Rattus norvegicus: one gene and its partner. Each later gene encodes a partner of the first gene's protein in a complex. Links are inferred from orthologs where the notes say so. Each region holds a gene or a part of one and is shown on either strand. Other genes may lie near its edges. The genes, in order: Rps6ka1 and Synj2bp.

Region 1 (3,815 bases):
CAACAGGATCTATCCCAGCTCTCCAGACAGCACTGGAAGGCAGTTCATTGGCCAACCCCAGAATGAACAGATCAAGAAATGATCTTTAGGGGCTGGGGATTTAGCTCAGTGGTAGAGCGCTTACCTAGGAAGCGCAAGGCCCTGGGTTCGGTCCCCAGCTCCGAAAAAAAGAACCAAAAAAAAAAAAAAAAGAAATGATCTTTAGAGGTGGGCGGTAGTAATACACGCCTTCAGGCCCGGCACTCGGGAGGCAGAGGCAGGCTGGTCTTGGTGAGTTTGAGGCCAGCCAGGTCTACACAGAGAGACCCAGTCTTGAACACCACCCCCTGCCCCCAAAAAAGGGAAAAAAGAAAGAAAATAGAAGCGATCTTTTAACAGCAGCATGTCCGATGTCACACTGTATTAGGAAGGAGGTCTGGGTGGGGCCCACAGCTGCCCTGCGGCCTTTAGTAATAGCCACACTTATCAGGCACTTCCTAATTATCTACGGTGAATTTGCTGCTGGCCAACCACTGCAACCACCCACCCCTCTGACAGCCCCAAAGAGAGATAAGTTCCCGGGGAGTGCCACACACTGAGTGAGTGGCCCAGTCCTAAAAGGCCCAAGGGCTGTCAGTCCCTGCACCCGGGAGAAAGGGCGGGAGTATGGCAGGGGCTTCGCTTACTTCTCAGGCTTGAGGTCTCTGTAAATGATGCCCAAGCTGTGCAGGTGGTCCAGGCCCAGTGCCAGCTCAGCCAGGTAAAACTTCACATCCTCCTCTGTAAACATAACCTGCCACAGGGAAAAAGACACCCATCCACTGGCACACCCTGTTCCCGAGGAGCCGGGCTACTGGGCAGTGGAGCCTCTTGGTGCTTGGGGGGGGGGGGGGGACGTAGGCAATGCAACTTCCTCTAATCTTTCTCTAACACGCAGTCTAATTGTATAGACGGACTGTAATAAAGAGTCAATATCTTTAATACCCGAGTCGCTCGCTGTGCTGGAGTTTGGAAACAGCAAAGAATGGAAACACCCAGGAATAAAAGACTGGAATAAACCGCCTCTCCTGGCGCAGGAGGGGGTGGGGAGGGAGGGGGTAGTGGGATGGTGGAGGGAGGGGTGTGGGGGCAGTTGGGGAGGGGGGAAGGGCAGCTCTGCAGCCATGACATAGAACAAGGAGTTTGCTCTTGTCCTGATGCAGAACAATCTGAGACACACTGACACCCGAGGCCAGGCACAGGACAGTGCGCAGGAATGAATACTTCTCATGTAAGAAAGTAGGGGTAGGGACTCAGAACATGTGTAGGATTTATTTACAGAAGGTTAAAAAAAAAACTAATTAAAAAAATGTTTACTTCCAGGGGGTAGAGGGACTGTGTAGTGATTAAGACTTGACCGTGCATATCTTTCTTTTGAATCATGAAAATGGACTGCCTGATGAACCATTATTTCTCTGAGGAGCCCTGGCTGTCCTAGAACTTGCTCTGTAGACGAGACTGGCCTTGAACTCAGAGATCACCCGGTCTGTCTCCCGAGTGCTGGGATTAAGGGTGTGGCTGCCGCCACCGCCCAGCTGAGCATTAATGTTTTAAATATTGAAAGTAAGTTTCTGAGAAAGTGAGACTCCCGGGTAAAGACTGGCTGCGTGTCTTTGAGCCCATGTGGTGGAAGCAGCGATCTAATTCCTACAAGTTGTCCTCTGGCCTTTATATGCACACCTGTGTGCCCACGAGTCTGTCTGTGTGTCCCCATGTAAAGTTTGCTGTCGGTGCTGTTTCAGAAAGAGTGACCTTTCCCCACACCCAGGCTGAATCAGGTCTTGGTATATTCTAGACAAACTCTCTACCACTGACTGACATCTCAGCCATATATATTTTAGTCACTCAGGCAGGCCTTCATGTTGTAATCCACCTGCCTCAGTCTCCCAAATAACTGTAACTTAAGGCCCGTGCCACAATGCCTGGTCAAGCTTGCTTCTCTCCCATGGTTGGATTGTATTAATGATCTTGGTTTTGAGAAATGACGTTCAGATCCTTTTCTACTGGGCCCTTTGTATTTTTTTCCTGTGGCGGTGGAGGCCTGTATTGTATTTTTTTTTTTTATATCAACAACATGACAAGGACCTTAAAGTCTTTAGCTTCCTGGGTGGGTTTGGACCTCTTCCCCTCGGCCAGCACACAGTCTATCTCAAGCATTTGAGGGATCGGCAACTAGAAATCACAGCAGTGTCACCTTTAGACCCCGTTCATCTTCAGCCCATCCTGAGAGAAATTCTCAGAGGCAGGTGGCATTTCTCGACTGTCAAACAGAGCCGGGAAGTTCCAGGCCGCACCACAATGACAGTGTTCCCCACAGGCCCAGGATGGGACTCTCTGTCAGGTCCCCAGCGGTGGGATGCTAGCTTACCTCCTTTGAGAGTCGTGTGAACAGGTCTCCACCACGCAGAAAGTCCAGAATAAGATAGAGCTTGCCCTCGGTCTGGAAGGCTAAGAGAGGAGGAAGCCAATGTGGGATCAGCTGGGCCAGTGTCAGCTTGTGACAAATGCCTCTACTCTGGGCTCCTTGGCCAGGCCCGTGAGAAGTTGGACAAGGGACAAGGAAGGCAGCAGGCTGTAGGTGAGGGTGGACGTTGAGGGGACGAGTGGCACTTGGGCAGGGTCTGGGGTCTCACCATAGTGCAGTTTCACTACGAAGGGGTGGTTCACGTCAGCTAGGATGTCTCTCTCCATCTTGGTCCGAACACGGTCACGCACTGGCCAGAGGAGAAAAGAAGGCACTAGTAGAACACACCCAACACAGCCTCTCCCCAAAGTCCACCTCTAGGTGAGGTTTCCCTCAGCCTTCCAAGGCCCCCCCAGGGTGCTCTCACCCTTGGGACGTTCAGCTAATTCTTTCCTTCTGGAATGTTCTGGGTCCTCAGGTGGCTCTTGGTCTCCTGGAGACGTCCAGGCATAGTCCTTGTGTCTTGCTCAGTTGTCTAGCCTCACCCACCACCAGACCCTGCAGCACCGTGTACCCCAGGGTGCTTAATTTTCTGAGGTCCCCGGCCTTTGACTCTGTATCCCTTCAGCACACACTTATCAAGCCTCTTTCGATCCTCCACAACAGCTTCTAAGTGTAATATTAAAACGCCATTCTGGGGTCTAAGCAGCCTTCCTTCCCTTGTTTTATTAACTTCCTTTTCCTCCAGTTGCTGGGGAGGATTATTTGAGACAAGCTCTCATGTAGGTCAGGCTTGCCTGGAAGTCATGATGTCGCCAACACTGGCCTTGAATGTCTGATCCTTCTGCTCTACCTCTACCCTGCGTTTCGATGACAAGTCTCGGGAATGTCTGGTTGGGGATGGGGATAAAAAAAGATGCCAAGCAAATTCCGACCACTAGCAGGTTTTTGGTTGACTAAGTTCAGACTTTACGGCCTCGGGGAAGCATCCCTACCCTGCAGGCAAGGCTGGGACCTCTGGGCTCCCACAAGCTGGCACTCCCCATCAAGACGTCAAGACGCATCTTATTGTGTTTTGATTCTTATGTTTCTCTCACTAGATGTGGCAGGGGCCTTGTGTGGTTGTAACTAATCCAGTCACTTTCAAACACACCTCACGCTTCAGCCACCAAAGGGACATGGTCCCTGCTTTCTGGGTTGGGGGAAGTCGTCCTTCCTTACTTTACCATCTTTTTTTTTTTTTTCTTTCCCGGAGCTGGGGACCGAACCCAGGGCCTTGCGCTTGGTAGGCAAGCGCTCTACCACTGAGCTAAATCCCCAACCCTTACTTTACCATCTTGTTCTGGTAAATTCCTAACATTCTTCAAGGCATAGGTCCTGCACTTGCCCCCAG
Region 2 (3,815 bases), on another chromosome or scaffold:
CTGAATTGTCAGTCTCTCCTCCCCACTAGACCATTTTCCTCTCCTTTCTTCTCTAATCTTTCTTTCTTCTTCATCCCTCTCTCCTTCACTCCTCCATGATTTTCTCAGGGCTGGGCTTCAACATCGTCGGTGGGACAGATCAACAGTATGTCTCCAATGACAGTGGCATCTACGTCAGCCGCATCAAAGAGGATGGGGCTGCGGCCCGGGATGGGCGGCTCCAGGAGGGTGATAAGATCCTCTCGGTGAGAAATGGCTTCGGCTCCCTTTGTTATACTTTGCTTCCTAGACCATATCTGACTCCTTCTGTGGCCTGCCTTTTTGGAAATGAAAATATTTAGATTATATCATTGAATAGGAAGAACATCAATCAGTCGTCCAACTTTACCACTAGGCTGGGAGGATAGTATTATTCTTGCTTGACAGGCCAGGCAAATTTGACGTAGTTCAAAAAGCACAAAGCAGGTAGGGGTGAAGGACTGGCTAGGAGGAAGGAGATTTAAGGTCCATCCACACTTTTCAAGTTTCTCTTGATAATTTTATCACTTCTCTTTTGTTGACTAAAACACTGAATTGTGCCTTTTCTTGGGAGACTGTCAGCCCTTAATAATGGTCTGAACTTTAAAAAGCAAGGTAAGGATTAAGTTTCTGCTTCCTTACCCATTATTAAGCCTTATAAATGAAGAACAGTTTGGATATCTGTCAATCGTGTTCTCATTTCATCCTGTTAATGTATCTTATGACATAGTAATCATGAATCTTACTATTTTTATGTATTTAATAATAGGAATTAATATTTTTTAGCTTTCCATATCTTAGTATAGTGCTCAACATAGGCTTAATAAATGAGCAAATCAGAAAATTAATTTAAAATAGAAAGGTTGACTAACAAATACAGTCATATGGGCTCATAGACCCTTTAAATTTTTTATTATTTTAAGTGTGTGTGTGTGTGTGTGTGTGTGTGTGTGTGTGTGTGTGTGTGTAGGTAGGTAGGTAGGTAGGTATGTGTGTTTGTAGGGTAAAATGTACACATGAGTGCTGGTGTCATGGAAGCCAGAGGCATGGGATCCTCCTGGAGCAAGAGTTACAGGAAGTTATGAGCTGCCTCATGTGGTTGCTGAAAACTGAACTTGCGTCCTCAGAAAGGTTGGTGCATGATTTCAACAGCTGAGCCCTCTCCTCAGCCCCAGACCTTTAGTCTCTCAGTCAGTTGAATCTTTCTAAAGTAAATCAGAATCCAGGTGTAATAAGACTTTTAAAACTCTTACATGTGGCTGTATTTTTTTAATTTCTGTTCTATCTCACTGGCAACAGTGTCATTAATTATACCATCATTTTTGGGCATTTGGGAATGGTTAGACCATGCTATAAAATCTTACAAATCAATTTTTTTGTGCTATTGTAGCTCAGCTTATTTTTACGAAAATAACACACATGATTGGTGTAAGGAATGGGACTTGCTATCTAGGATTCCCCGTGAGTTAGACTTTCTTCTAAGGGCTGTGCTCAAGTTAAAAGGAATTCGAAGAAGGGTGGGACTTTTCCCTGCAGAAGTGCTTCCAGTTTCCACATGTGCTGTGGATTGTGGCTCATGGTCTAAGAAAAAGCAATTATTTCCTACTTTGTCTTATAAAACTGAATAGGGCAAGAGGGCCAAACCGGTAAAAGGCTGAAGTAAGTGAATGAAGTGTAGATCAAGACAAAATTTGATTAAGAGTTAAGGATTATGTCAGATACTTGATTTAGAACTTCCACAAAATAGGACTATGTCTTTTAAAGATTTTATTTTAGTTTTGTTTTGTATTTTCTCTTTTGAGTTGCCTCTCAGAGTTCAGCTGATTAGTGATAAAAGCCATAGAGTTTAGTTGATTAGTAATAAACGTTGTATGTGTGAAGCCTTCGGATCCTTTCAGAGACCAGCTTGTGGGTACTTCTCTGCCATCCAACCCATTTGGTAGCAGTATGTGAAGGCAGAGATACAGATGAAAGATAAGAGTGTCTCCCTTTCTTTCATTTGACATGTGAGTAGTATTTGAGAGATCCTTAGGAAGACACACCACCAAGCATGGTGGCACACACCCATACAGTCCTCTAGTACTCAGGAAGTAGAGGCAGGAACGTTTGTGTTTAAGTTGTGAATTAGTTAGCAAGATCTTATTTCAAGAGAGAAATACACATAAATCAGAGAAGTAGCCATGAAACCATGCAAGTTAATTCAAGAATCTGAAGAATGTGTCTGACATACAAGTATAACACTGTGGATGGTGCTGTGTTAGTTCCTCTCACTGTTGGCCATGCTGCCACCTACTAAGCTTCATCTAAGCCCTCTCCATTAGTCTACAAGATAGGGAAACTTAAACGCCTTTGATATGAAAATGCTGACGAGGAATTTAGGAGTAGGTCTTTTCTACCTCTCTTAGAAGAAAGACATTGTAAAACTGCAAACCGAGTTTGCAATAGGACAGAAAGAAAAATTGTTAGTGGGTTGTTAAAATAAAAGTATAATGTGTCACAATATCTCAGAGCACTAGCACCTATACTCGAGTAAAAAAAGACTTGAAAAATAGTGGGTTTAGTATGGGGCTGAAGAGACAGCTATATTGTTAAAAAAAAGCTTTAAAGATGGATTATCTAAAAAAAATTATGAACAATTTATATGCACAAAACAGAACCTTCAGTGTAAAGCTGTTTAATATTAGGGTAGTGCTGTGAAATGAGTATAATCATGCCCATTTTGCAGCTAAGAAAACTGAGGCTTGATGAAGTCAGGTGGTTTACAAGTCATACAACTAGTGTTGGTAAACTAAAACTTTAACCTGTCTGAATTTGAATTACTTACTAATACTAATGCTAATACTAAAATTAACACTATATTGTCTTCCTAAAAGGTAAATGAGTAAGTAAGATTAATTACTCTAAAAAGGAAGTAAATAACTAGTAGATGATAGACATGGCCTTAGAGAAAACTGAAATTAACCTTTCTACCAAGGGTAGAATTAATGGTATAAGTCAGAATTTAAGAGAATGTATTAGATATAAGCTAGGACAAGGAACCTTATGTGGTCCATTTTCCCTAGAGAAACAAAATTACTAGGAGGTCTCAAGAGTTAAGAAAAGCCTTTGGTCCTGTGACAGCTCGTTTCCCCAATGTAGGGGAACGCCAGGGCGTGGTGGTGGGAGTGTGTGGGTGGGAGTGGGAGCGTCCTCATAGGAGCAGGGCAGGGAGGGGGGATGGGAAAGGGGGGGAAAGGGGATAAGATTTGAAATGTAAATACATAAAATATCCAAGAAAAAAAGTTTAAAAATTTCTTTGTTTTAAATTATAAAAAAGAGTTGAGAAAGAACCGGAGATTAGTGGTGGGTGGGTGGTAGAGAGAAATGTTAATGAAGAGGAAGGTAGATATCTAAAACCAATAGCTCATCTAGCTTTAAAACTTACAGCATGTGGGTATAAAATTAACTCAAATAAATCAGTTGCCTTCCTCTATACAAAAGAGAAACAAGCCGAGAAAGAAATTAGGGAAACGACACCCTTCATAATAGACCCAAATAATATAAAGTACCTCGGTGTGACTTTAACAAGCAAGTAAAAGATCTGTACAATAAGAACTTCAAGACACTGAAGAAGGAAATTGAAGAAGACCTCAGAAGATGGAAAGATCTCCCATGCTCATGGATTGGCAGGATTAATATAGTAAAAATGGCCATTTTACCAAAAGCGATCTACAGATTCAATGCAATCCCCATCAAAATACCAATCCAATTCTTCAAAGAGTTAGACAGAACAATTTGCAAATTCATCTGGAATAACA

The links.
Region 2: the proteins of Rps6ka1 (region 1) and Synj2bp are in contact, whole or in part, in a crystal structure (PDB 7P74), measured with the Homo sapiens proteins. The link is inferred for Rattus norvegicus from reciprocal best matches to the Homo sapiens genes RPS6KA1 and SYNJ2BP. Residues at the interface, in NP_002944.2 of Homo sapiens: Pro731, Ser732, Thr733, Thr734, Leu735; in NP_060843.2 of Homo sapiens: Arg18, Gly22, Leu23, Gly24, Phe25, Asn26, Ile27, Val28, Gln33, Ser45, Arg46, His78, Val82, Phe85, Arg86.

What each region holds. Positions count from the first base shown.
Region 1 is NC_086023.1:151,381,542-151,385,356, forward strand, and holds part of Rps6ka1 (ribosomal protein S6 kinase alpha-1), read right to left. Parts: intron 2,733-3,815; coding exon 2,652-2,732; intron 2,467-2,651; coding exon 2,387-2,466; intron 773-2,386; coding exon 666-772; intron 1-665. UniProt on the Homo sapiens protein: Serine/threonine-protein kinase that acts downstream of ERK (MAPK1/ERK2 and MAPK3/ERK1) signaling and mediates mitogenic and stress-induced activation of the transcription factors CREB1, ETV1/ER81 and NR4A1/NUR77, regulates translation through RPS6 and EIF4B phosphorylation, and mediates cellular proliferation, survival, and differentiation by modulating mTOR signaling and repressing pro-apoptotic function of BAD and DAPK1.
Region 2 is NC_086024.1:106,934,351-106,938,165, reverse strand, and holds part of Synj2bp (synaptojanin-2-binding protein), read left to right. Parts: intron 1-108; coding exon 109-245; intron 246-3,815. UniProt on the Homo sapiens protein: Regulates endocytosis of activin type 2 receptor kinases through the Ral/RALBP1-dependent pathway and may be involved in suppression of activin-induced signal transduction.